7 linked regions of the Sus scrofa genome follow. The protein of the gene in region 1 interacts with the protein of each later gene in a pairwise test. Links are inferred from orthologs where the notes say so. Each region holds a gene or a part of one and is shown on either strand. Other genes may lie near its edges. The genes, in order: AES, CARD9, SMAD3, OLIG3, PARVG, C6H1orf109 and NAB2.

Evidence for each region.
Region 2: the proteins of AES (region 1) and CARD9 interact in binary tests that used the Homo sapiens proteins (3 or more experiments, as listed by UniProt). The two-hybrid records come from large-scale screens. The link is inferred for Sus scrofa from reciprocal best matches to the Homo sapiens genes TLE5 and CARD9.
Region 3: the proteins of AES (region 1) and SMAD3 interact in binary tests that used the Homo sapiens proteins (3 or more experiments, as listed by UniProt). The two-hybrid records come from large-scale screens. The link is inferred for Sus scrofa from reciprocal best matches to the Homo sapiens genes TLE5 and SMAD3.
Region 4: the proteins of AES (region 1) and OLIG3 interact in binary tests that used the Homo sapiens proteins (3 or more experiments, as listed by UniProt). The two-hybrid records come from large-scale screens. The link is inferred for Sus scrofa from reciprocal best matches to the Homo sapiens genes TLE5 and OLIG3.
Region 5: the proteins of AES (region 1) and PARVG interact in binary tests that used the Homo sapiens proteins (3 or more experiments, as listed by UniProt). The two-hybrid records come from large-scale screens. The link is inferred for Sus scrofa from reciprocal best matches to the Homo sapiens genes TLE5 and PARVG.
Region 6: the proteins of AES (region 1) and C6H1orf109 interact in binary tests that used the Homo sapiens proteins (3 or more experiments, as listed by UniProt). The two-hybrid records come from large-scale screens. The link is inferred for Sus scrofa from reciprocal best matches to the Homo sapiens genes TLE5 and AIRIM.
Region 7: the proteins of AES (region 1) and NAB2 interact in binary tests that used the Homo sapiens proteins (3 or more experiments, as listed by UniProt). The two-hybrid records come from large-scale screens. The link is inferred for Sus scrofa from reciprocal best matches to the Homo sapiens genes TLE5 and NAB2.

Annotation. Positions count from the first base shown.
Region 1 is NC_010444.4:75,490,840-75,495,007, forward strand, and holds the start of AES (amino-terminal enhancer of split), read left to right. Parts: upstream 1-1,368; 5' UTR 1,369-1,542; coding exon 1,543-1,569; intron 1,570-2,703; coding exon 2,704-2,801; intron 2,802-4,168. UniProt on the Homo sapiens protein: Transcriptional corepressor. Acts as a dominant repressor towards other family members. Inhibits NF-kappa-B-regulated gene expression. May be required for the initiation and maintenance of the differentiated state.
Region 2 is NW_018084833.1:1,342,235-1,346,232, forward strand, and holds the start of CARD9 (caspase recruitment domain-containing protein 9), read left to right. Parts: upstream 1-1,198; 5' UTR 1,199-1,748; coding exon 1,749-2,092; intron 2,093-2,406; coding exon 2,407-2,606; intron 2,607-2,888; coding exon 2,889-3,026; intron 3,027-3,578; coding exon 3,579-3,883; intron 3,884-3,961; coding exon 3,962-3,998. UniProt on the Homo sapiens protein: Adapter protein that plays a key role in innate immune response against fungi by forming signaling complexes downstream of C-type lectin receptors.
Region 3 is NC_010443.5:165,109,957-165,113,456, reverse strand, and holds part of SMAD3 (mothers against decapentaplegic homolog 3), read right to left. Parts: intron 1,715-3,500; coding exon 1,502-1,714; intron 1-1,501. UniProt on the Homo sapiens protein: Receptor-regulated SMAD (R-SMAD) that is an intracellular signal transducer and transcriptional modulator activated by TGF-beta (transforming growth factor) and activin type 1 receptor kinases.
Region 4 is NC_010443.5:26,799,540-26,801,989, reverse strand, and holds OLIG3 (oligodendrocyte transcription factor 3), read right to left. Parts: upstream 1,320-2,450; coding exon 501-1,319; downstream 1-500. UniProt on the Homo sapiens protein: May determine the distinct specification program of class A neurons in the dorsal part of the spinal cord and suppress specification of class B neurons.
Region 5 is NC_010447.5:4,888,467-4,891,966, reverse strand, and holds part of PARVG (gamma-parvin), read left to right. Parts: intron 1-35; coding exon 36-151; intron 152-1,579; coding exon 1,580-1,635; intron 1,636-3,500. UniProt on the Homo sapiens protein: Plays a role with ILK in promoting the cell adhesion and spreading of leukocytes.
Region 6 is NC_010448.4:93,744,097-93,747,596, reverse strand, and holds part of C6H1orf109 (uncharacterized protein C1orf109 homolog), read left to right. Parts: intron 1-468; coding exon 469-648; intron 649-3,013; coding exon 3,014-3,132; intron 3,133-3,304; coding exon 3,305-3,342; 3' UTR 3,343-3,500. UniProt on the Homo sapiens protein: Part of the 55LCC heterohexameric ATPase complex which is chromatin-associated and promotes replisome proteostasis to maintain replication fork progression and genome stability.
Region 7 is NC_010447.5:22,403,275-22,406,924, forward strand, and holds the end of NAB2 (NGFI-A-binding protein 2), read left to right. Parts: intron 1-96; coding exon 97-230; intron 231-587; coding exon 588-639; intron 640-733; coding exon 734-866; intron 867-1,086; coding exon 1,087-1,278; intron 1,279-2,293; coding exon 2,294-2,403; 3' UTR 2,404-3,150; downstream 3,151-3,650. UniProt on the Homo sapiens protein: Acts as a transcriptional repressor for zinc finger transcription factors EGR1 and EGR2. Isoform 2 lacks repression ability.

The sequences.
Region 1 (4,168 bases):
AGAATTTAAATTCATCCAGGAGGCAAAGGTGCATAGTGGATGATGATGATGGTGACAATTAAGAGCCTATGTATTTAGCACTTCCTGGAACTTAATGTGCCTTATTTCTGGTTTCTTGGAGGCCTGCTCTCCACAGGAAAGGGAGAGAGATCCTATCAAAGTCCCCATCAGCCCTGTTTCTCCTCTGCCCACCATCTCACAGGGCTCCCATCTCACTCCGAGCAAGCCCAAATCCTCCCTGAGCCCACAAGGCCCTGCACCATCTGTCCCGCCTCATCACCAGCTACAGAATTTGCAGGCCCCAATGCAAAACAAGACCATTCAAAAATTATTAGGAATTTCCAGACCAACACAGCAGATCATCCACCCAAGCAGAGGCCCTTCTGGAAGCCAGGCCTCTGTGCAAATTCCAGAAGCTGCTAGCCCTGCCCCTCTGCTCCCTTTTCCTCTCAAGCACCCCACCCCCACCTGTGCTAGGCACAGTGCTGCCTCAGTACCTTTGCACTGGCTGTTTCTGCCTCCTAAAATAAGCGACCAACCCCATAGCCTACTGGCTCCCTCTCTCGTCTTCAGATCCGCTTAGCGGCCAAAGAGGTCCATCTGAGTTCCCTCTGTTTAAAATCACATCTTCCCGGCCCTCCCTCCTGCTTTCTTTTCTCTATAGCTGTTACCACCATCTGACCTGCCAGGGACCTGGCTCTTTGGCTGGTCTCTCTGTCTTCTGTCTTCTCCACCAGGGTAGGGACTCTGTACCCCCTCCCACCCCCACCTGGCACACAGTAGGCGCTCCATTAATGTGAGTCAAGGTATGGCTCCCAGGAGGTCGGCGGTATCATCCCCGCCTTTCTACGGAGGAGGAAACCGAGGCTCAGAGAAAAGCCAGTGAGCCAAGGTTACAGAGCATGTCCCTGGCACGCGTCCGGGTCGCGCCATGACAGCGCCGGCGGTTTCGATGGGGGCAGCCGGGCCCCAAGCTTTGACCGATGGGGAAACCGAGGCCCTGGCGGTTGCCGAGGCCACCCGGCCGGGAGGGGCCGCGGCGGGGCGGGGGCGCGCGGGCCCAAGGTCACCGCGCCGGCCGGCCCGGGGGAGGCGGATGGGTGGGGATCCGCGGGCCTCCCCGGGCGCGCGCCCCCCCCTCGGCGGCGCGCACGGGGCCCGGGAAGCAGCAGCGGCGGCGGCGGCGGCGGCGGCGACAGCAGCAGGTGGAGCCGGAGCCTCCGCGCAGCCGAGGCCGCGGCCACTGCCGGCGTCGCCGCCATTAGACAATAGGAGCGGCGGCCGGGCGTGCGGGGAGGCGGGCGGCGGGGAGGGGCGGGGAGGGGCGCCGGGCGCGCAGGAAGCGGGGCCCGGGGCGCGCCGGGGCCGGGCGCGCGGGGAGGGGGCGCAGGAAGCGGGCGAGGCCGGGCGCGGGAGGCGGCGGCGGCGGCCCCGGGAGCTGCCGATCGGCTCCGGGACAAAGGCGCGGCCGCCCGGCGCCCCGAGCAGCCCGAGTCGGGGCGCACAGCCGGGGCGCAGCCTGCGCCCCCCGCCGCGACTGACATGATGTTTCCACAAAGCAGGCATTCGGTAAGCGGGGCCCGTCGGCCCGGCGGCCCCCCCCCCCCCCGTCCGGGCCCGGCACCCCCGGTTCCCAGCCCAGCCACCCCCCCCAGCTCCGGGCCCTGCGTCCCCCTACGTCCTGGCCCGGTATCCCCAGTTCCCAGCCGGGGCTATTCCCTCCCCCAGGTTCGGGCCCTGCGTCCCTCCAGGTCGGGGCCCCGTACCCTCCCATATCCGAACCCAGCGCCCCCTCTAGGTCCAAGCCCTGCGACCCCCTTCCAGGTCCCTGCCAGGCCAACCCCCCGCCTCCAGCTCGGCACCTCCCCCCAACTCCTGGGCCCAGTCCCCTCCAGCTCTGGGCCCAGAGCTGCTCCCCCCCCGCAACCGCCGCCAGCTCCGGGTCCCCCTCCCAGCTTCCGGGCCCAGAGCCCCCCCAGGTCCCCTTTTGCCCCCAGCTCAGAGCACGCCCCAGACCCTGGACCCTGCGCACCCCCACCCCAAGCCAGGCTGGGCCTCGCTGGCCTTGGCCTGGGGCCTGGGGCGCCCCGGGAGCCCCACTAGGCACCTCTAACGCTGGGGCTGCTTTTGGGGCCTGGGAGTGGGGGAGAGTCAAGGCGCACCCCTCCCGGAAGAGCGCGCGGCCTGGAGGAAGGGTGCTAGGAATCTGGGGTGGGCCCCCGCACCCCCGGAAGATTTTGGGCGCTGAGAGCCCCCTCTCCCAAGGGGACTTTGCCAGGAAGCCTGCCCCCGCCTCCCAGCTTTGGGGAGGGGGATTCACTAGGACGCGTTCTCCCCCCTCCCTGAGGCAGTTGGGACGCTCAGACGTGCAACCCCTCCCGGCGCTGTGGAGGCGCGGTAGAGGGCGCACCCTACCCCCCACCAAGGGCGGCCCTTCAAATGCACCCCCACAGCCTGGGGGTGGAGGGGGACGAGCGGCTCCGGGAGCACCCACCCTCCTTAGCTTCTCGGGGAGAGGCGGGGGCAGGAAGCGAGGGCGGGGGCCGAGCCAGGGGCTGTAAACACAGCCAGGGAAGTGGGGCAGGGTGTGGGGGGACGCTGCAGCTGCGCAGGCCGCAGCCTGGTGGAGGGGGGGCGCCCTCAGGGAGGAAGGTGGGTGGCGGCCCCCTCCTGGTCCTGACCCGGGCCGCCCCCTCCCCACAGGGCTCGTCGCACCTACCCCAGCAACTCAAATTCACCACCTCGGACTCCTGCGACCGCATCAAAGATGAGTTTCAGCTCCTGCAGGCTCAGTACCACAGGTGAGCTGAGGGCTGGTGGTCCCTGCCCTGGGTGAAGGTGGAGCCCCCTGCTCAGAAGGCAAGACTGAGGCCTGGAGCTGAAGTTGTGGTCCCTGCTATACACACAGAATGGGGGGAAAAAATCGGTATTGAGTGTCTCATGTGGCAGACCAGGTCTCCAACACTTACGGATATTAAATTCATTTAGTCTTTAGGACAGTCCCATTTCATAGAGGAGAAAACTGAGGCACAAGAATTTAAATAATTTGCCCAAAGACTCAGCCGTCTGGTTTCCAAGCCCCTCTCCCCTCCCCCACCCCCACCCCAGACTGCGTTGGATAAAAGACCTCCCAAGAGCTGGAGTTGGGGGCTGGATCTTCCATCGCCCCACCCACCCCTCAAAAGAAAGTCTATAGCTTGTTATCTCTTTGCCTAGTTTTGGAGAAAAGGTTTCTGGCACCCAGCAGCAAGGCGATGCTCCCTCCAGAATTTAATCTAACATTTCTAAAGGGCTTGCCATGTGCCAGATCTAAGAAAAAGGAACTATTATTATCTTCATTTTACATTTAGGGAAACTTAAACCCAGAGGTGATAGGGGTTTCCTGGGGTTGCCCAGCAGGGAAGTGGCAAAATGAGATTCTCACACTCAGTTTCTGGGTTGAAGACTGCAAAGTCTCAAGCCTTAGCTCCGGAGGGGGTCTTTGCTTGAGAATCAGAAGGGGGTCCATGGCCACAGATACCAGTGGGGTCTTGGGCTTTCTCTGGACCTCAGTTTGGTCACACAAAAGTGTTCTATGAAGGATCCTGAGTTTTCTCCAAGAAGAGATAGGAATAGTGAGATCTGTTTTTCCTTTGGGGGTGTTCCTATCCTCCCCATTTGCCAAATACTGAACATACATCCTTTTATTGAATCTTCCCTGCTTTTTGATCATATGCCCATTTCAAAGTGAGGAAACTGAGGCAAGGTGGTTGAAGGGCAGGCCCGGGAGCTTTGTTCTGGTCCTGTGATGTGGAGGGTTTAGGAGCTTTGCTTGTCAGGCCTGGCCTTTCTGAGCCTCTCCAGGGGTCCTACCCTCCCTACCTGGCCCTTGCTCTCCTCTGATCCAATCTGGCTGGCCGATCTGACTCCAGAGACTGAGGGTCAGGTTGCTGCCTCATGCTGTGTGACCTCAGGTAGGCCAGGCCCCCTCTCTGAGCTTTGGAGTCACGATCCGCTGGGCCTGGGCTTCCTGCTATACAGCGAGGAGTCCTACTGTGTTGGGGACTGGTACAGTATCTGCCAGTCCCTCAGGAAGGGCCAGAAATGCAGTTTGGAATGAAACTGCCTTTTTTTTTTTTTTTTAACAGTGGCAGCAACTGTACATTTTTAAAGAAAATTAGAGAAGCCA
Region 2 (3,998 bases), on another chromosome or scaffold:
CTCCTCTGACCTGTGGGCTAAGTTTTCTTGTTCAATTTCCAAATGCTGAGTGAGGGTCCCGACGTCTCTGTGGCTGCTGCCTCGCCCAGAGCACACGACGTCTGCCTGAGCTCTAAGCCACGGGAACTGGGTCGTTGAGGGCCCGGTACCAGCCTGCCTGCTGGGCATGTAGGAGGCGGTGGCTCAGTCTCCTGCACCAAGTCCCCACCTGGCTTTCGCGGCTCCCGCAGGGGGCTCCCCATGCCCAGAGGGTGATGTCAGCTCCCCGGAAGGCCAGGCCACCACGCAACCCAGCAGTGCCAGGTCTGTGCCGGGACGCCCAAGGTTTCTGCGAAGTGGCCCGCTGACCATCCTGGGCAGAAGGCAGAGAAGCCCCCACACGGCCTGAGGCGTGAGACCCCACAGGAAGGGAGCTGGCCAGGCGGGAGGGAAGCTCCTCAGGAAGGGGGAGCCGGGAGCACCGGCCAGGCTCCCATCCAGCCCGTCCAGCCGCAGCCCCTTCGCGGAGCTGAAGCTGGCAGCTCGGTTCAACTGGCAAAGCTCCCCGGGCAGCGCGGTGGCCTGGGGATTCCCCAACCTGGCCAGGGTGCAGCTGGCAGCCAGGGCTGGGCTCCAGGCTTTGCCCGGCCTTCTGCAGCCCTTCTGAAGTGCTGGGGTGGGGGGCTGCTGTCACTGTCATGTGTCCTGGTGGAGAAGGGGTGGTCCCAGGAGGGGCGGGGCCGTGCCAGCCACAGCAGGCCAGTGTGCTGCGGGGCGCCTGTGCCCGGGGCCCTGTTTTGGGACACCACACCGCCCCCTCCTGGGACCAAAGTGGGCCAGCAGGGGCTCGAGCTCTGTCAAGCCTTGGCTCGCACTCCCCACTCCTCAGGGTCAGGGCTGGGCCTCCAGGGCGGGCCCTGGGCCCCGCGGCCAGCCCTGCGCTGGCTGGCAGGGCTCTGGGCAGCCTTCCTGGGGAGCCACTTCCACTTCCCTCCCCCGCCCCCCAGGCCGCCCTGCTCGGGCGAATCAGCAGCGGCCGCAGGGATGGTCCCTGCGGGGTTAACGCCAGGAAGTGCGCTCCCTCCCGCCCCACCCTCCCTGGCCGGCAGCCGCGGCAGCTCCCACCGCTCACACACCGGCTTGGCGGCCCAGGCTGGCCGGCGACCGGCCACTGCACAGGTGCCTCAGGAGGACCCCAAGGTAGGCTGGTCTGGTGCCCTTTCGGAAAGGCGGCGGCAAGCCCAGGTGGCTCAGGACTCTTGGGACAGGGAGAGGGATCTGGCGTGAACACCCCAGAAGGGCACCAAACGGCCTCACCTCTGCTGCCCCGTCCCCCTCGCAGCCACCTGGCACGGTCGCTTCGGTGGAATGCACAGCAGGTCATCGTCAGGCGTGGGTGCTGTGGACTTGAGGCTAGAAAGGCCGCAACAGGCCAGGTCCAGAGACCGGCCACCAAGGTGCTGGTGATTCCTCTGGACGCCGCGCCTGTCGCTAGGCGGGCGGGCCGAGGGCGGTGGGACCCACAGCCACGGCCTCTGGGATACCACGGCCTCTGGGACCGTGCCCCAGCCCCCGTGGCCCGGGAGCCGGTGTTTCCCAGGCAGGTTACAGGCTCAGTCCCAGGTGTTGAGGCGGGGTCTCTGTGCCCCCCGACCCCTCTCCCCCAGGAGGAGGCATGGCCACATGGCTGCTCCTGCTCAGCCCGCCCCAGAGCGTGGTCCCTGCCCACCCGCTGCTGGAAGGGCTAGCAGAGAGCAGCTTCCACGTAGATGGTCCCCTGTCAGGGAGCCAGCATCCCCGTGCTCAGCACTGTGGCCGAGGAGATGGGGAGAGCCCGGGGCCAGCTAGTGCCCAGCACCCAGAGCCTGGAGGAGGCGCGCAGCCGCGTCCTGGGCTGCCTGGGCGACACAGCTGGGCCCTCCCCATGTGCCCAGGGCCCTCCGGTGGGCTGCTCTCAGTCACGCTTCCTGGAGGGCACCACGTCCCTGGGCCTGACCGGAGCGGGCCAGCTGGGCAACTGTTGCATCACCAGCCACAGGAAGCAGAGGAAGGGATGGGAGTGGATGTGCGGGGGAATGAGGAAGTCCCGCGTGGCATGGCCTGCCGCCCGCAGGTGGGGGGCGCCCCAGCCGGGCGCGGGCTGGCCGGGGGTGGACCGGGACCCCTCCCTCATCTGCCGGGGAGGTTGTGCCAGCGCTCGGCCCAAACAGCTCCTGCTGCCCCCTCACCTCCAGGGAGGGAGGCAGCCTCCCTGCCCGCCCACAATGCTCGGGGAGGGGGATTCTCCCTGGGCACAGGCTGGGGGGGTAGCGTGGGGCAGGGGCCCAGGGTGACGGGGGCGGGGGAGAGGAAGCCCAGAGCGGCCAGAGGGCGGGGGCAGGGCAGGGCAGGGCGGCGGGCCAGTTGACGGGCCCTCTCTCGGAGCAGTGCGCCCGCCCGCACCATGTCCGACTACGAGAACGAGGACGAGTGCTGGAGCGGCCTGGAGGGCTTCCGCGTGAAGCTCATCTCCGTCATCGACCCCGCCCGCATCACGCCCTACCTGCGCCAGTGCAAGGTCCTGAGCCCCGACGACGAGGAGCAGGTGCTCAGTGACCCCAGCCTGGTCATCCGCAAGCGGAAAGTGGGTCAGTGCCGTGGGCGGCGGGCTCTGCCCACGCTCGTCCCTGTCCCCGGGAGGCCTGGCCGGCTCGGCCCCCGCCCCGCCCCCCCCATCACCAACCTGTCTGCCTGCGGCCGGGGCGCCGCCATGCACAGCAGAGGCCCCTGGGAGAGCCACACGAGGTGGGTGGCCGATGGGGACTGGCCCAGACCCACTCTGCGGCCACCCCGCGGGGCCTCGAGGGGCCACACGCGTGCCTGGGGACGCCGGCCGCCCCGGCCCCCAGCCAGGCCCATCTGGGTTGCAGGCGTGCTCCTGGACATCCTGCAACGCACCGGCCACAAGGGCTACGTGGCCTTCCTCGAGAGCCTGGAGCTCTACTACCCGCAGCTCTACAAGAAGGTCACGGGCAAGGAGCCCACCCGCGTCTTCTCCGTCATCATTGGTGAGGAAGGGCACCGGGCCTGGGGACCCAGGGCCCGGACTCAGGGGCCGGGGCGCCCCCCTGACCTGGGCCCCTAACGGATAAAGCGTGCATGCGCTCTGGCGGAAGGATACCGCCCGCCTGGGGCCCGCCCGCCCGCTCTCCTGCTGCAGCCCGGGGAGGGGGCAGGGGCCGGAGGGAAGGGGGACCTGAACTCCAGGGCGGGAGCAGGGGGAGGGGAGGCACAGGCTGATTCTTGGCTCAGAGCCCCCCTGCCCAGAAGACCACCTGACCCCACTAAAACCCTGCTCCCGAGAGGCCGCGGCAGCCGGAGAGGTGCCGCTCTCCTGGTCCTGAGTCGTGTCCCCTCGCCTCTCAATCAAGATGACCAAAGTGGACAAAGAGGGAGGGACACGTGAGCCCCTGGCTGCACCGTCCTGGGAGGGGCTGGGGACGGGGCCTGCAGGTGAGTCAGGACCAGACCCCTGGGCCGGGCTCCCCGGGCCGCCGGTCCTGGAGCCGCGCGAGATGCTGGGCTGCTGGGCGCGCCGTCTGATGAGGCCCGGTCCGCAGACGCGTCTGGGGAGTCCGGCCTGACGCAGCTGCTGATGAGCGAGGTGATGAAGCTGCAGAAGAAGGCGCAGGACCTGACGGCGCTGCTGGGCTCCAAGGACGACCTCATCAAGGAGCTGCGCGTGAAGGACGGCCTGCTGCGCAAGCACCAGGAGCGCGCGCAGAGGCTCAAGGAGGCCTGCGAGGCCGGCGGCCGCGAGCTCCAGCGCTGCAAGGACGAGAACTACGACCTGGCCCTGCGCCTGGCCCGTCAGAGCGAGGAGAGGGGCACCGCGCTCATGCGCAACCGAGACCTGCAGCTGGAGGTGCCTGGCGGCGGGGCGGCCGGGCGGGCGGCGGGCGGGCGGCGGGCCCCCGGGCTGGGCTGACGGGCGGCCCCGCAGATCGATCGGCTCAAGCACAGCCTCATGAAGGCCGAGG
Region 3 (3,500 bases), on another chromosome or scaffold:
AGTGAGCTAAGGATCTGGTGTTGCCGTGAGCTGTGGTGTAGGTCAGATGCGGCTCACATCTGGCATGGCTGTGGTGACAGGCCAGTGGCTACAGCTCTGATTTGACTCCTAGCCTGGGAACTTCCATATGCCATGGGTGCGCCCCCTCCCAAAAAAATGATCAGGAGGCAGAGGCACAGGTGGAAAGACCCAGACCCAAAGGACAAAAACATTTGTTCTCGTTTTGATAATTTCTGACATATTTTAAATAGAGAAAAGTGTAAAGTGAGTGAGTAAACACCTGTGTATGCCATCTAGGATCTTTTAAAAAGTAAAACAAATGGGGAGGCTGTCTGGGAAGGATGAAGGCTCAGCAGCAGGGACTCTTTGCCACTGACTGTGTCACACTTGCTGTGTGGCCTCTGCCCTTCCCTGCCTGTCCGTCAGGGTCTTCCCTGGAACATGAGCACCCTGGCCCAGGCCTGTGGCTTCCAAACTTGTCTTAACTGTAAAATCCTCTCTCCGAATGAATCATCTCTGAAGGCCCAAGATATAATACAAACAAGAGCAGGGCTGCTCTGGGTCATGTGGCCCACTGCCCTACCTGGCTCCCGAGTTTGCCCTGGAGCCCCTTTGGCCACCCTGGGCACATGGAGCAATGTTTCAGAATACCAACCATCTCCATACCATCCCCATGGCTCTTGTAGGTGACTCTGGATCACAACATTGGGAATACTCTTAGCATGATTTTATGAGCAAATAAAGCAACACAGCAAGGCTTCAATCTTCCCTAAACTAAGTGGGCTTTACCGCACGCTGGGTGCTGGAAGACAGAGTGGCAGCAGCAGTGGTACCCAGCAGTGGGCAATACTTGCCTCTCTACCTCTTCTAAGTTCCTAGGATAATCCTGTGTGAAATGAACAAACCAAAGATCATCTTTCCAGGACTATCTACTTACCCACTTATCAGTACTTTAAGGGTATTTCTTTTTTTTTTTTTTTTTGGTCTTTTTAAGGCTGCACCCTCTGCATCCCAGGCTAGGGGGCTCGAATCAGAGCTGTAACCACTGGCCTATGCCACAGTCACAGCCACGCCAGATCCGAGCTGCGTCTGCAACCTACACCATAGCTCACGGCAACTCCAGATCCTTAATCCACTGAGTGAGGCCAGGGATTGAACCTGAGTCCTCAAGGATCCTAGTCGGGTTTGTTAACCACTGAACCACAACGGGTACTCCCCCTTAAGGGTATTTTTATTAAGGAGAATTACACAGTTGCCTTTTTCCAGAAAGTCCAGCATCTTCCCTTGTGGCTTTCAAAGTTTCAAAGATGATATCTGTCTCTGGGTGAGAATGATCAAGCAACCTGAACTCTACCTGTCTGGCCCCTGAATAAGGTGACAGAGAGCTTTTGGGGGAGGGGTGGAGGTGGGGGAGGCCCAGCACAGTGGTGGCGGATTCTGGAGGGGTCTGTGCTGGGCTGGGGATCTGGGGTGTCGTGGGGGAAACTCGACCGCCCCTCACCGATGTGCCTCCGTGTCAGCTCCACAGCCGCATTCCTGTTGACATTGGAGAGCAGCCCCAGGCAGAAGCGCTCCGAGTTGGAGGGGTCGGTGAAGCCGTCCACGGTCATGGACGGTTGCGAGGCGTGGAATGTCTCCCCGACGCGCTGGTTGAGCTCGTAGTAGGAGATGGAGCACCAGAAGGCCGGCTCGCAGTAGGTGACGGGCTGCAGGTCTGAGGAGACAGGCCAGCCCCTGGGTCAGTGGCGCCCCAGGCCCCGTGCCCCTGGACGGGGTCTGCCGGCTGCTCTGGAAGACTGTTCCCCACCTCTCAGAGGGCATTATAATCTCCCCACCCTCGTACCTTTTACTGGATAAAACCTGCAGGAGCAGCCAGCGGGACAAAATACTCAGGTGGCAGGAGAAGCACTTTTCATTTAGCTTTAGCTTCCAAAGGCCCTGCCCCGCCTGGCCTGGCCTCAGGTTGAAGCCGTCTTCAGGGAGGTGCTAGGCCAAGCCCCTGGACAGACACACTGGACAGGCTGGGTGTGCCTATCGCGGGCAGGCCACGCCACCTGCCTCTCTTCCTAGGTCCCCGAGGTAACCCATGCTGATCTCCGCCCCTCCAAAGCTAACTCCTGTCGAGCAGCAGCATCCAAGCCTGTGAAACGATAAGGCTGCTGCAGCCCTGGGGTCTGCGCTGCGCTTGGTGTCCAAGACCACACAGGCGCCAGGCACCATCTGCAGAGTAAACCCGGTTCCTGCCTCTTGTTATAGAAACTATCCTCCAAGTGTATCCAGATGTTGAGCAACCAGGAGGCTAACACACAAACTCACCTAAAAGAAACTCTGAACTTCTAGAGGTCATCCTGTGGTCTCAGTCAAGGGCACCTCAGAGTAACTGCCGTCCTGGGAGGGGGCAGTTCTGTTTCTCAGAAGAGGTGGGAACTCCTGAAGTAGAGGTTTCCCCTCACACGAAGCCACACCTCCCTTTCCAGGGACGCCCTAGCCTTCCTGTCACCTCCAGTTGTTCTGGGCTCCACACCTGCCCAGGTACCCCTGCCTGTCTCTGTGTCACTTCTCACCTCAGGGTCCCTCCTCGTCATTCTTCACTTGCACTAGTGCCACGGCCCTCTGACAGGGCTCCCCAGCACCCAGCCCAGCCCTTCCAGCTTCTTCTCTGCCCTGTCCTGCTCCCGGGGCCACGTCCTTCCCCTGTGCCTCCTCGAATCCCCCTATTTGTTGGTGAATCAGAGTCTGCTGCTCTCATTCTGGTCTTAGCCCTCTGGCCTGCACCACGTACTCTGGCTCTTACATATACATAGAGAGTTGCGTATATGGTTACTCAGGCGTGTCTCTGGAAGCTGGTGAGAGGATGGGAGAGCTCGCCATGCCAAGTCAGCACTGGCCCGAGACCCGTGTCACCGCCGGCCAGGCAACTTCCTAGAGCGAGAACCCATGAGAACTTAAGCTCAGCTCACCAGACCTCACAAAGTGTATAAAAGCCCAGGAAAGAATAAAGCAGAAGCTATTCCAGGAGGGGCCTGGGTTCCCCTGCAGGGCAAAATGGCCCTGATCTCCTTCTGGGGTCTACGCCCATGATCCCATCTAAGAGCAAAGAGAAGGCTGGCTCACAGGGGAAGGGCTGCGGACCGGTGACACCCCTGCACTCAACATGCTGTGAAGAGTTGGCTGGAGGGTGAGGGCACTTGGATCAGGTCTCGGCCTTGGCAAATTTGGGGCACGATAATTCTTTCCTTGGGTGGGGGGATCCTGCGTGCTCTGGGATGTGCAACAGCAGCATCCTAAGCCTCTGCCTACTTGATGCCAGCAACATACATCCATCTCACCCTCCCAGCTGTGACTGTAAGAAACTTCTCCAGACACTGAGAGACGTCTTCTGGGGGCAAAATAGGCCGCAGTTGAAAATCACTGTCCTGGGTGTTTGACCAGCTCAGGGAGCACAAGCTTCAAGGCTGGACAGACTTGTGTTCACATTCGGCTTTGGCACGGACCTGCTG
Region 4 (2,450 bases), on another chromosome or scaffold:
TCTCTCCATATTGTCTCTCGAAAAACAACTGTGGAAAGGATAGACCATCATAACTGCATCCATCTCAAGGAAATATTTACATTTGTTTCCCACCAAAGGGATGGCTGTCTTTTCCAAAAGCCAGAGAAAGCCAACTCTAAAGTTCCTTTGCAAGTGTTTACACCGATCCCATCTTTATACAACAAATGCAGTTTTGACAAGAGCATATGGCAGTGAGAAATATTGGCGCGGCATGGAGAAAGGAAGCATGCATGCAAGACACACGACATCTGGTTCGAGTCCCCCTTCGCTACCACCTAGAAATTGCAGTTTGATTTTAGTCCTTTCCCTCCGGGGGTCAAGTGGGATCTGAGAGCTCTCAGACTGTGTGGGAGGCCTCGGGGCCCTGCGCCCGCCCTCCCTCCGGCCGAGCTCTCAGCCACCCTCTTCCCTCCCGGCCTGGCACCTCGACCCCTCCCTCCGCTCGCCCCTCATCCTCCGCAGCCGGCCCGGCCCGCTGCTCACTTGAGCAAGTCCTTGGACTCGGCCGACAGCCGGGCCATGTTGGCGGTGGAGAGAGCGGACAGGTGCGGCGGCGGCGGCATCTGGCAGATGGTGCAGGGGCAGGGCAGCCCGGCCCAGTGCTGGAAGCCGCTGCCCAGCTGCAGCGCGGGTGGCGTGGAGGGTGCCTTGAGGAGCGAGTGGGGAGGCCGGATGGTGCCGATGGCGGGCAGCGAGGCGGCGGACAGCGGTGACGACGCGTTGCCGGACGAGAGCGCGCCGCCCAGGATGGGGTGCACCGGGTGCACGGCGTTGGCGGCGTGCGCCGGATGGCCGGCCGAGTGGCCCACGGTCCCGCAGTGGAAGGCCGAGTGGTGGCCCCCATAGATCTCACCAACCAACCTCTTCATCTCCTCCAGGGAGCTGGTGAGCATGAGGATGTAGTTTCTGGCCAGCAGGAGAGTGGCGATCTTGGAGAGCTTGCGTACCGAGGGCCCGTGCGCATATGGCATGACCTCGCGCAGCCCGTCCATGGCGAGGTTCAGGTCATGCATCCGCTTGCGCTCGCGTCCGTTGATCTTCAACCGCAACTGCTGTAGATCCTGCTCCGACAGCTGCTTCTTGATTTTGTACTTGCTGCTCTCGCCCGCGGCCTTGGCGCCGGCCCGCGAGAGGCTTTCCCCGGGCATCTTCTGCACCATATCGCCCTGCGTGGATGAGACCGAGTTGAGGCGGCTCTCCTGGTGGTGGTGATGGCGGTGGTGGTGGTCCCTCAGATACATCTCGTCCATGTCCGGAGATGAAGCTCTGCTGGAGACAGAGCTCGAATCAGAATTCATTTTATTAGAGGGGACGCGGCCCTACCGTGGGGAGGCTTTAGGCGGGAAATTAAAGAAAATCTTGAATTACAAAAATAAAATTAAAAAAAAGAGCTGCGCAGCCCAGCAACCCACTTCTCAGCGGCAAGACCTGAGAAGAAAAGCTGAGGCACTGCCTTTCCCCGCCTTTCTCCCTCCCCACTCCCCTCTCTCTCTGGTTTGGTGGTTTCCTGGACAGCTAGTTGGTGTGTGCTTGAACTAACCTCACGCTGAAAAAGAGGGGCTTTTATAGAGCTGCAGCGGAGAAAAGAGACAAAAGGAACCCTCCTATCTATCCTAGGCTGGTTAGGATGACGTGCCATCATTCAGGGCGGTGCGCTTTGCTGTCCCATTTAGCAAGGATTCCTATTCATATTCATTGTGGGGCCGCCCAGGGACACCTCTGCTCCGAACCGCTAGGAGCCCCCAGGCACAAAACCCTCTGATTGACACACTCACCGCTCCAGCTCACGCCTTCTGGATTTTTTTTTTTTTAAACTTTCCTTTACCCCCTCCCTAATCTCCCTAATCAAATCACACCTAAAGGAACCGAGGGAAGGGAAGGGAAGGAGGCCAGGCTGTCGGCGGAGATTCCTCTGGGGCTGGAGAGAGGAATGGAAACATTCTCTCTCCTCCCTTCCACAGCCACTCCTAAGTTTTGGAAAATGTGGGCAAAAAGTCTCAATGATTCCATGGTTTCAAGGACAGAGACGCAGATGGAGGGCAGGTTCAAGGGGAGGGGGTCGGGATGGGAGGTGCAGGAGCATGCCTGCCCGTTGCACTGCCCGAAGTTTTTTCTTACTAGGTTTTTTTTCCCCTCAACGCTGGCATTGTGTTCATTTTGTTTACTGGGCCTCCAGTGTGATTTTAACGGGATGTCCATATCTGGTGATGGATATGCCCCTGACACTGTCCTGGGGATGGGTGTCTTGGTTTTTATATGTTCTCTTTCGTTTTGAAAAAATCGTTTCCTGAACGAATTTCAATTTTGCTTAAACCTGGAACTGAGGAAACAACCCAACGCTGGTGTTACAATAAGAGCCACTTGAGAAGGAGAGGAGAGGAAAAGTAGCCGAGGGAGTTAAGGATTGGAAAGGGTCCCAGGACTCCAGA
Region 5 (3,500 bases), on another chromosome or scaffold:
AGAGGGGGCTGACCTCGTGCCCTCTCCCCTCCCAGGCATCTTCAACAAGGACCTTCTGGCCACGCTGCATCTCCTCGTGGCCCTGGCCAAGCGCTTCCAGCCCAGCCTGCCCCTGCCAGCCAACGTCCAGGTGGAAGTGATCACCATGGAGGTAGGAGCCGGGCACCAGAGGCGTCTGCCCGCAGGCCCAGCATCTCGGGGCTGCATCCCCGCGCCCTGGATCGGGGTGCTGCACGGGGCGGGCTGAGATGGAGTGGGTGCCAGGGAGCCCTGAGAAATGTCGAATCCCACCAGGACGGCAGGGAGAGGCCGGGGTGGAGATGTGGGCGAGGGATGCCAAGCGTCCACGAGGAGGTCTGTGGGCCGGCCAGCCCCCCTTACTCAGCAGATGGCACCTGCCTGGGTGTTATGAAGGTCCTGGCTGACGGCCGCCCTGCCACTTGGGCCATAAGTGACCACCTGTTCACGCCTTTCTGAACCCTTCATACCCCTGGGCCACTGCCCTTGTGACTGTGATGGTCTAAGCCCCGGACTCAGGGCTGTGACAGTGGTTCCAGGGGCCTTCTGGGGCTTTCTCTGCCCACGAGGTTCTCTCCCTGCAGCACGTGTGGGACTCCAGCAGGAGCTAATGACACAGGAGTCCCCGTGTCCTCTCTCAGACCCCGAGCACCACAAACAGAGCCCACCTGCACCCGATCCCCGGTCTCCCCTCCCCCAGCCCCTGGGTACCCGGGAGCAGCCTGTCTTCCCTTTGACCTGCTGGACAGAACGCACCAAGTGCAGCCAATTCAGGACAATTCATTCTCACTTTTCAAAACCATTGATATGAATTTTCTGCTAAGCAGGGTCTAGGCTTCGCTTACAAGTAGGCAAAGCGGAGGTGACTTCATCCCTCCATGTAGTCACGCATTCATTCATTCACCCGCTCACTCATTCATTCACGTGCTCACTCACTCATTCATTCACCCGCTCACTCACTCATTCATTCACCCGCTCACTCATTCATTCACCCGCTCACTCATTCATTCACCTGCTCACTCATTCATTCACCTGCTCACTCATTCATCCATCCACCCACTCATTCATTCACCTGCTCACTCATTCATTCCTCCATCCACTCATTCATTCCTCCACCCACTCATTCATTCCTCCACCCTCTCATTCATTCGTCCATCCGCTCATTCATTCATTCATCCACCCACTCACTCATTCACGCACTCATTCATTCGTTCATTCATGTACTCATTCATTTTTTCAATGACCCACTCACTCATTCCTTATTATTCAGACAGCGCGTGTCTACTGATGCCCTTTGAGCCAGGCACTGGGTGGACAGTGGGGATACCTGGGGAACGAGGCAGACATGGTCCCCACCCTTGTGGGGCTCGTGGCCCAGGGGCAGGACGGTTACACTGGCCACTGTGAAAAGGACTGCCCGGAGGCCGCCTTGAGGAGGGGCTGAGACAGAGCAAACTGGGTCCCTTGAGACTGTCTTGGCCACTCGTGTCTTCTCTACTGGCAGGCATGGGTCCTAGAATTTTCTAGTATTATTCCATTCTTCCCTCTCCTTGTTCCCTAGAGCACCAAGAGTGGCCTGAAGTCGGAGAAGTCAGTGGAACAGCTCACTGAGTGCAGGTGAGAGAAGGGCCAGGGCAGTGGCAGAGGCCAGGCCACCTGGGGACTGGGGTACGGCCTGGGGCCAGGGACAGATCTGCCTGACCTTCTTGCAAGGGGCCTCCACACTCTGCCAGCCCCTCTAAGCACACGTGGCCCAAAGGGACCCTCCAGCTCGCTGGCCCTCACACAGCTTGCCCGCCTCTGCCAGCTCGTTTCGCCTTCTGCACAGCCCAGCAAAGCAGGTAGAGACGGGGTCAGAAGGGGCCCTGGTCCGCAGTCCTGAGGTCATATCACAGGCACTGGGGGCCAGGAGAGACCCAGAACTGGGGTCTCCAGACCCTGACACCACGCTGGTTCCCTAACATCCGGTGCGCAGTTGCTACTGGGCGTCCTCACCTGATCCACGGCAGCGAGAGGCCGCACGGGCCTGAACCCTACACCCCGACCGCAGAACCCCGCAGCCTCCCAGTGTCGGGAGGCAGGGGCAGAGGTGCTCACTCATACCGCCCGTGCTTAGCAAGCACCTACTGTGTACAGGTGAGGCTGTATCCTTGAGTGCCCAGCTTCGCCAGCTGTTGGCCTGAGCTCCGGACCGTCTGGGCAAGCAGGACCCCGGAAGTGGCTCCGTCAATGTGCTCCCCACCCTGCCTCCCAGAGGGAAAGGCCCCCGGGGCAGTCCTGGCAGCAGTGCCGCCCACACCCGGCTGCTTTGCAACATGAAAACTGCAGAGCCCTGGGGTCCAGGGAGAAGCAGGGGCTCCCACTAGGCTGGGTGGGTCTTTAGGAGGGCCTCAGTGGAGTGGGGCCCGCCTAGCCTGAGGCCAAAACTTGGTACCACCTCGGGGGTGAAGGAAGCCATACATGAGCCAGGGACCTGCCAGATCCCAACACCCAGCTCTATCCTTCTCCAGGCAGACGTGGCCATTTTCCACTCCTGGACTCCCCTTTGGTGACTTCAGTTGGCCTCTTGCCACCTGTGGGCTCACACTTCTGGGCCCCCCTCCCCTAACCCCTCCTCCCCCTGTTCCCCAAGTGGAGGCCTGGCCCTGCGGCAAGCCCTGGGTTTGGGATGCAGGCTCTGCCCCATGAATGGTAGCCTCTTGGTACCGGCAGACTGTTTCTCGTCCTTGCAAAGTTGCAAGGGCCACAGAGGGGCCCCGGCTCTGCCTGCCAGGCAGGAGGTCCCCCGATCCCGCCACTGGCTGCTGCCTCGCTTCCCCACTGGGCGGCCCACCCCTGTCTCCTCCAAAGGTCTTTCTGGGTTGGTCTGAGAGGGAGCTCCTTGCAGGAATGTTGAGGATTCCCCTTTCTTGTCTAACATGACTGAAGACCTACTGTGCACAGGGTACGGGGCTGATTTAGCTCCTTTGACTCTTTTTATCCTCACCAAGGCCAGTTCGGTTCACCTCCGCTTGCAGGCTGGGCAGCCAGCCCTTCCTGGGCTGGAATCCGGGATCTGCCGTGTGTGAGCTGTGTGCCCTTGGGGAAGTCACTGCCCCTCTCTGAGCTTCTTTACTCTCTGTTGGGGCTGTTGTGCCGGTTAGAGATGAGCATAGGATGCCTGTTCCCCCTCCTGTATCCCCCCAGCCCTGAGGACCCTGCGGCATCCACTGGGAATGGGATGGTGGGAAGGGCTCAACCCACCGCAGGTTGATGACACGCAATGGCTGAGGCCCCACCAGGTGAGCCCAGCGTGGCCAAGGGCAGGAGGAAGCAGACCCCTGCTGGTTTCTCCTGCCAGCGGGTCCTGTGCACTCGCTGGCCCGTTTCCCCTTCTCAGGGACACGCCGGGAAGAAGCCTTGTTCCCTTCCCACTCGGTGAAGCTTAAGTGACCTCCCAGCCACCCAGCCGCTGAGCGACTCTGCACCGGCCCCGCTGAGCT
Region 6 (3,500 bases), on another chromosome or scaffold:
GTCATTTCTTCTTCTTTTTTTTTTTTTATTTTTTGGCCATACCCATGGCATTCGGGAAGTTTCCAGGCTAGGGATCAAACCTATGCCACTGCAGTAACCTGAGCCACAGTAATGACAATGCCTGGTCCTTAATCCACTGAGCCACCAGGGAACTCCAGTTCTTAATTCTCGAGCCACCCCTACCTCCAAGAAACCATCACCCATCTCCTTAGAGAAATGGGTCTCATTTGGAGACAGTTTTTCCCATTGGGAAGTTTGGCACTATCTGGAGACGTTATCGATTGTCACTACTTGGAAAGGGTGGGAACATGATCAGCCCTTGTCAACTAGTGGGTAGAGGCCAGGGATACCACTGAACATCCTATAGTGCAGCCCTCCACCACCAAGAATCATCTGTCCAGAGCAGCCATAGTGCTGAGGCCTTAGGCCTTTCTCATCATGTTGCCTAATATCAGACTCTTTCCCCAGAGCCACCCTCCTCAAGGTGCGTGATGTGGTCAGCAGCCACGTGGAACACGTGCTTCAGACCTATGAGCGGCATGCGGACACAATCGGCCTGGATGCTGTCCTGCAGGCTTCAGCTGCAAGCCCCTCTGTGGCTGAAATGTTGGAGTGGTTGCACGATATCGAGAGACACTATCGAAATTTGTATCCTTTGCACACATTTCAGGTTGTTCCAGAGCTATTCCAGGAAGTCTTTTAAATTTTGGTTTTCACAGGATTACACAACAGTATACAGTGTGGCTCAGTTCTCTTTGGTTCCTGAACTTGGATGCTTCCTACACTCATTTGTGCAGTCACTCCTCAAGTCATTTATTGAGTAGCTGATACCTGCCAGGCATTGTTCTAGGGGCTGGGAGGTAGGCATTAAAAAAGGAAAATATTAACAGGCTGTCAGATTGTGGTAATGCCTTGGAGAAAAACAAAGCAGGGAGTGGGGGAAGCGAGGGGAGCAGGTGGGCTTGTGATTTTAAATAAGATGGTCGGGGCAGGCCTCAGTGAGGAAGCAGGATTTGAGAAAAGACCTGAAGGGAGGGAAAGAACCAGGTGGATATTGGGGGAAAGAGTGTTCCAGGCAGGAGACACACAACGTGCAGAGGCCCTGACGGGAGAGCAAGTCTTGTGTGTTCAGGAAATAGTCAGTGGGGCTCGAGCCGAGTGAAGGGGGGGTGGTTTAACAGGAGATGTGGTCAGAAAGACAGGTCTAGAGTTGGTAGGGCCGCCAGGGTCTTCAGAAGGTTTTGGCTTTTGCTCTGAGTGAGATGGAAAGCTATAGGTTTTGAGTAGAGGGGTAACTTGATCAGATCTATGTTTTCAGCAGTATTACCGGCTGTGTTCTAAGGAGACTTGGGTGGAAGCAGGAAGACCAGTTAGTTGGGGAGTTGTCTTGCCTTTTTCTCTTGATTGTTGCCTGATAACTCACTTCTACCCTCTGGCTGAAGTTTCTACTTTTATTTACTTATTTATTTGGTCTTTTTGCCATTTCTAGGGCCGCTTCTGCGGCATATGGAGGTTCCCAGGCTAGGGGTCTAATATGAGCTACAGCTGCCAGCCTACGCCAGAGCCACGGCAATGTGGGATCCAAGCCGAGTCTGTGACCTACACCACGGCTCACAGCAACGCCGGATCCTTAACCCACTGAGCAAGGCCAGGAATTGAACCTGCAACCTCATGGTTCCTAGTCGGATTTGTTAACCACTGAGCCATGATGGGATCTCCTCTACCTTTATTTAAATCACTCCCAAACCCAATCTTTATTCTTGCCTCTGTTTACCTCTAATTTGGGTTTTTAGTTTCTGCAGAGGCCCCCAGCTGGAATCTCATAGAACTGCAGGCTCACATGGAGAGTTGAAGTCCTCCGTCCAGCCTTCCATTCAGCTCCCTTTTCCTTGAGTTGTAGTGTCAACCCTGTCTGATCATTTAGTCTAGAAACTTCAGCAGCCTTGTCCCCATTTTCCACCCTACTTTCTTTTTTCTCCCCCCCTCCCCACCCCATTTTCTAATGGCAGCAGAAGCAGCAGTGGTGGCAACAGCAGCCTGGGCAGTGGGACAGTAGCTGAGTGCTTATTGTGTGCCAGGTGCTGTCGTTAGAGTGTTTGCAGAGTCAGCTTTCAAGTCCTTGCATTCTGTTGCCTTGGTGCTTCTTGAATTTTCCTTCTCTATCCCCACTGCCTCTACCATAGTTTCTCACTTGGACCTGTAGTCACATGTAGTGACAGGTTTCTCTGTCTTCCTTCCCTCCAAGCCACCCCCAGATAGTGGCCGCATTCCACAGACTTATCCATAAGACAGCTCCTTTCTGATCCTGTTGCTCGTGTAGAAGTTTTCAGTAGCTTCTGCAAAGCCCTTTTGTTGGTCTTTGTGTCCTGGCTCCACCTGTCCTCTCAGCCGCCTTTCCTGCTACTCCACACCTCGCTCCATGCCCGCCGCGCTGGCACGTGTACTGTTCCTGAGTCCATGCTGTGCCTCCCCCCTTCCATGCCTTGGCTTAAGCTTTTCCTACCAGCTGGAACCCTCCTCCAGTCCTCTAAGGGGGATGTGTTCATCCTCTGAGCTTCCACTGAGTTTTTCTTCCCTGTTGTTTAGTCTTTCTTTCCAGTTTCTGTTTTTTCCCCTCACTGCAGTGAGATCCTAGATTGCAGGGTAGTGTTTCCGTCCTTTTCCCTGTAGCCCAGAGCCATGTGTGTGAGGAGGGGCTCAGGAAAGGGCTGTAGCCTAGGTGGGTCCTGCCCACCTGGGAAAGGTAGCGGTTACTGTGCTTTGACTTCGCAGCTCCTGGGAACTCTCTCCAGGCTGTTTTCTCCCTTCGGTGTATTTCATTGTCTTTGGTTTTTCAGTTGTTGTTTTAGTTTTAGCTTTTGGTTTTGGGGTGTGCCCATGGCATGTGGACATTCCTGGGCCAGGGGTTGAACCCGTACTACAGCAGTGACAATGCCGGATTCTTAACCGACTGTGCCACCAGGGACCTCCTATTTCGCTTTCCTCTAGAGCACCTTCCTTAACTCCCTGGAAGCTACCTGAGGAGGAGGCACCTCCTGTCCTCCATCCAGTGGGGAGACCTGGAAAACATTCAAGCTTTGCCCAAAGCCTGGGACCGAATTTCAGAAGCTGAACACCCAGACCTTATACGAGGTACTGATTTTCATTTTGTCCTTCACGTCTCCTCCCCTCCTTTCTTTCTGGGTCTCACCTCTTTGGAAGCATGTGGAGATGCCCTCATGGTGCCTCTGTAGCTTTTACAAATTGGATGTTTTGTGTTTTCTGGAAAGGTCATAGGCCACATTTTTCTCTCTTCCTGTTGCAGATATCCTGTTGAGTGTTTCCTTCTTCCTGGAAGAGTGAAGAAGCTGTGTGTTTATTGGGAGACTGGGGGGAAGAAGACCGATGTTGCTGCTCTCTGAAATGGCAGCATTGCAACCTGACATATGGGAAATATCAGTGCCTTCGAACCTGAGGACTGGTTCTTGGGAGGATTGTGCTAGAGGTTTCTGACAGGGGCT
Region 7 (3,650 bases), on another chromosome or scaffold:
TGGGCCTTGCTTGTCTGATGGTGAAGGGGAGAGAGGAGGTTTGGGCAAGGTGCTGGGTGAGTTAGGATTCTGACTGCGCTGGCGCCCTCTCCACAGCTGACCATCAATGAGGCTGCTGCCCAGTTCTGCATGAGGGACAACACGCTCTTACTGCGGAGGGTGGAGCTCTTCTCCCTGTCCCGCCAGGTGGCCCGAGAGAGTACCTACCTGTCCTCCTTGAAGGGCTCCAGGTGAGACTCCCTTCTCTAGGTCCTTCCTAGATCAGAATCCTTCCAAGGAGCTGGGTCATGTCTTAATCTCTACTTCAGGTGCCTCTTGGACTGCTTCTCCCCCATCTGTGTGTCCTTGACTTTGGCCAAGTCCACTTATCTGAGGTCTGGCCCCTTCTCCCATCCATTGCAGGCCTCCACTGTGCCCCCCCACTGCCCCCCCCCCCCCAACAATGGTGCCTGAGCTGGAGACTTGCTTAGCCAGCATCTTTTCATACTCTGGAAATAATGCGTGTTCTTCCCCCCCCAGATTCTGTGTCTTGTCCACCACTTGTCCTTCCCCAGCCTCACTCTCCTTGTTCCTCTCCATCTTTGAAGGCTTCACCCCGAAGAATTGGGAGGCCCCCCACTGAAGAAACTGAAACAAGAGGTAGGTTTTCCAGGGTGCATATAGGGGGTTAGGGCAGCCTTCCCTGGTCCCCTCCCTTGCCAGGTTTTCATTTCCCCATTTGGGGCCTCTACAGGTTGGTGAGCAAAGTCACTCTGAAATCCAGCAGCCTCCCTCAGGCCCTGAGTCCTATGCACCCCCATACCGCCCCAGCCTGGAGGAAGACAGTGCCAGCCTGTCCGGGGAGAGCCTGGATGGACACTTGCAGGGTGAGTGTGCCTCGGAACACTTCTCTGGCCACTGGGGAGGGGGGAGCGCAGGGGTAGAAAGCTTGGGAGGAGGGCGCCAGGAGGCAACTCCCTGGAACATGGTTGGGAGGCCTGGCGGGATGGGGGCAAATGGGCCTGGGCCTATGGGTCTGGCTTTGCAGTTGAGGGTGGGGGTTCCGTGGACTGTGGTCCCTTACCTGACCCGTGCCCATGCCCACAGCTGTGGGGTCATGCCCAAGGCTGACGCCGCCCCCTGCTGACCTGCCTCTGGCATTGCCAGCCCATGGGCTGTGGAGCCGCCACATCCTGCAGCAGACACTGATGGATGAGGGGCTGCGGCTAGCCCGCCTCGTCTCCCATGACCGCGTGGGCCGCCTCAGCCCCTGTGTGCCTGCGAAGCCGCCTCTCGCAGGTGAGGCAGCCAGCAGTGCTGTCCCCAACCACCCCTGCCACCCAGGCTCTCCCCCAACACACACAGCAATCCTGGTGTCCTGGGGCCAGGTGGGAGGAAGAGGGATGTAGTCACCAGAGAGGGCAATAAGGATGGTGGAGCTCCAGCCAACCAGGCCTTGGGTTGAGGAGAGGGGAGCCCTTGGAGGGCTGTTCCCAATAGGGAGGGTCTGACCCTAATGGGCATCTCTGAAGGGGGAACTGGGGAGCAGGAAAAGGAGGGTCATCAAGAAGAGAAGCTTGGATAGAACTTTTACCAACACAGGAGGGTGGAGCATTCTAGGAGTAGGGGTGAGGTTGCCAGCTTAGAATTGGACGAGCCCAAAGGGGTATGCTTGGTGCGTGGATGGGGGAAGGGGGAGTGAGGGAGTAGGCCAGCAGAGGGCCGGGCAGCGGCTGGGCTGAGAGTGACGCAGCAGACAAAGCCACCAACCCTGGCTTGGTATTTTTAAACTGTGTGTGGGTGGGAAGTGGGGGCGGGGACTGAAAGAGGGGCTCTTCTTGGGGGAGGAGCTGGGAGGTTGGCTTCCTGTGATCCCCTTGATTTGGCTTCTAAGAAACTGGGGGGGGGGGGCGTGCATGGTAGGGTAGGCAGGGCCTGGGAGGAGGCCAGGGATGAGTGGGGGCGGCAGAGCCTGGGAAGGGGGGAGGGGGAGAGGTCACAGCCAACCCGCCCCCGCAGCTCCTGACAGAACCAGAAATTCCAGCAGAACGGAGGCGGGAGAGACCGAGAAAGAGAGAGACACTTACAAAGACCGAGAGCTACACACTGCTAAGAAGGGGAAGGGGTGCACACACTTGGCTATAGAAACCCCCCCCCCCACATACATGCACTCACCCGCGCGCGCGCGAGGTGGGCTGAGGGCTGTAAATCCGAGCTCAACTTTACAGCCTTCTCTACACCTGCCTTTGTTCTCAACCACCTCTGTCTACAGCGTTCACCTCGCAGCCTCCTAACTGACCCCTTCTCCCCGCAGAGTTCGAGGAGGGGCTGGTAGACCGATGCCCTGCGCCGGGACCCCATCCCGCTCTGGTGGAAGGTCGGAGGAGCAGCGTCAAAGTGGAGGCTGAGGCCAGCCGGCAGTGAGGGCGGGACTGCTGTCCTCAGACCGCGGGGCCTGGGCTCCCGGGTCACACAACCCCTCGACTCCGCGTCCCTGGCACCTAGTCACAGCCCTGGATCCTTCCGCTGCCCTTCTCCTGCCTCCCCACCGGCCCCATGGGCATAGAACTATGGGGCTTCAAGCAATAACGAGCAGGGGCCTGGCGAGAGGACACAAGGAGGGTGCGTGGTGCCCCCCTCACCGTTGCCCAGAGCAAGGGGCAAGGACTCTGCCTCCAGGGCACTTGGGGTTCTCCCCTTCCTTACACAGCACACTCCCATTCTCTAGTTTGAACCAGTGGTGTGAGCAGTTGGACTCGGTTTGGACATGGGGGAAAGGGGGACTATCCTGGGAGGGTCCAGCAACTAAAAGTGGAAACATTTCCCCCCCAGAACTGGGGGCCTGGGAACACTGGACCTGATCCTCCCTCCATTCCCCCATTTTTGTGCTTCTAGTTTGTTTCTTTAATTTAACAAGTGCTGCAGTTTGCCTACCCATCCCCATCCTTCTCCCAAGTCCTCAGCGGTTCTCTCCCTCCTGCCCTCTCTAGGGGGGCATGGGGTCCCCTTCACCAGCCCCCTCAGGAGGCTTGGGTGGACTCAGGGTCTCCCTTAGCTGGGGGCTGGGCCGCAGCACCTGTCTGAGCAGTTAGAGCATCTTTCTTTTCAGATCGTGTACAGTAGATTATTTATTTTGTTATTTTGGAATAAAATTTATTTTATGGCTTAGGATCTATGACCCCCAAGATGGAGAAAGGGTGGCATGGGGCAGGGGAGTGGAGGGAAGCTGGCGGTGGCTGGGGAAATAGAAAAGAAGCAGTGGGTAGGGCCCCCGATACACCCAAAGGACCACACACTTGAGTCTGGACCCCAGACTCTCTACCCCCTGCCTCTGGGCAGGACTGGTGGTGATGAGCCACCAAAACTACAGCCATATGCAGATGTCACAGCCACGAAGACCCCTCTGGGCACAGTTCTCAAAGATGAGTGAGTGCATTTGGGTTCGCATACACCAGAGAGGCCAGCATGCTTGCTGGTATCTTTTGTGCAGTGTCTCACACTTTCAAACGTGTGTTGTCACACAGGCAAAATCAGAGAGGTACATGTTCTATGTGGCTGTACAGCTAACGTGTGTGACATCTATATAGTAACATGTCTCAAGTACACATACTTTTGCACAGCTATACACACAAACTCAGCCTTTGTACTTCTGCATAATCTCATGCACATGT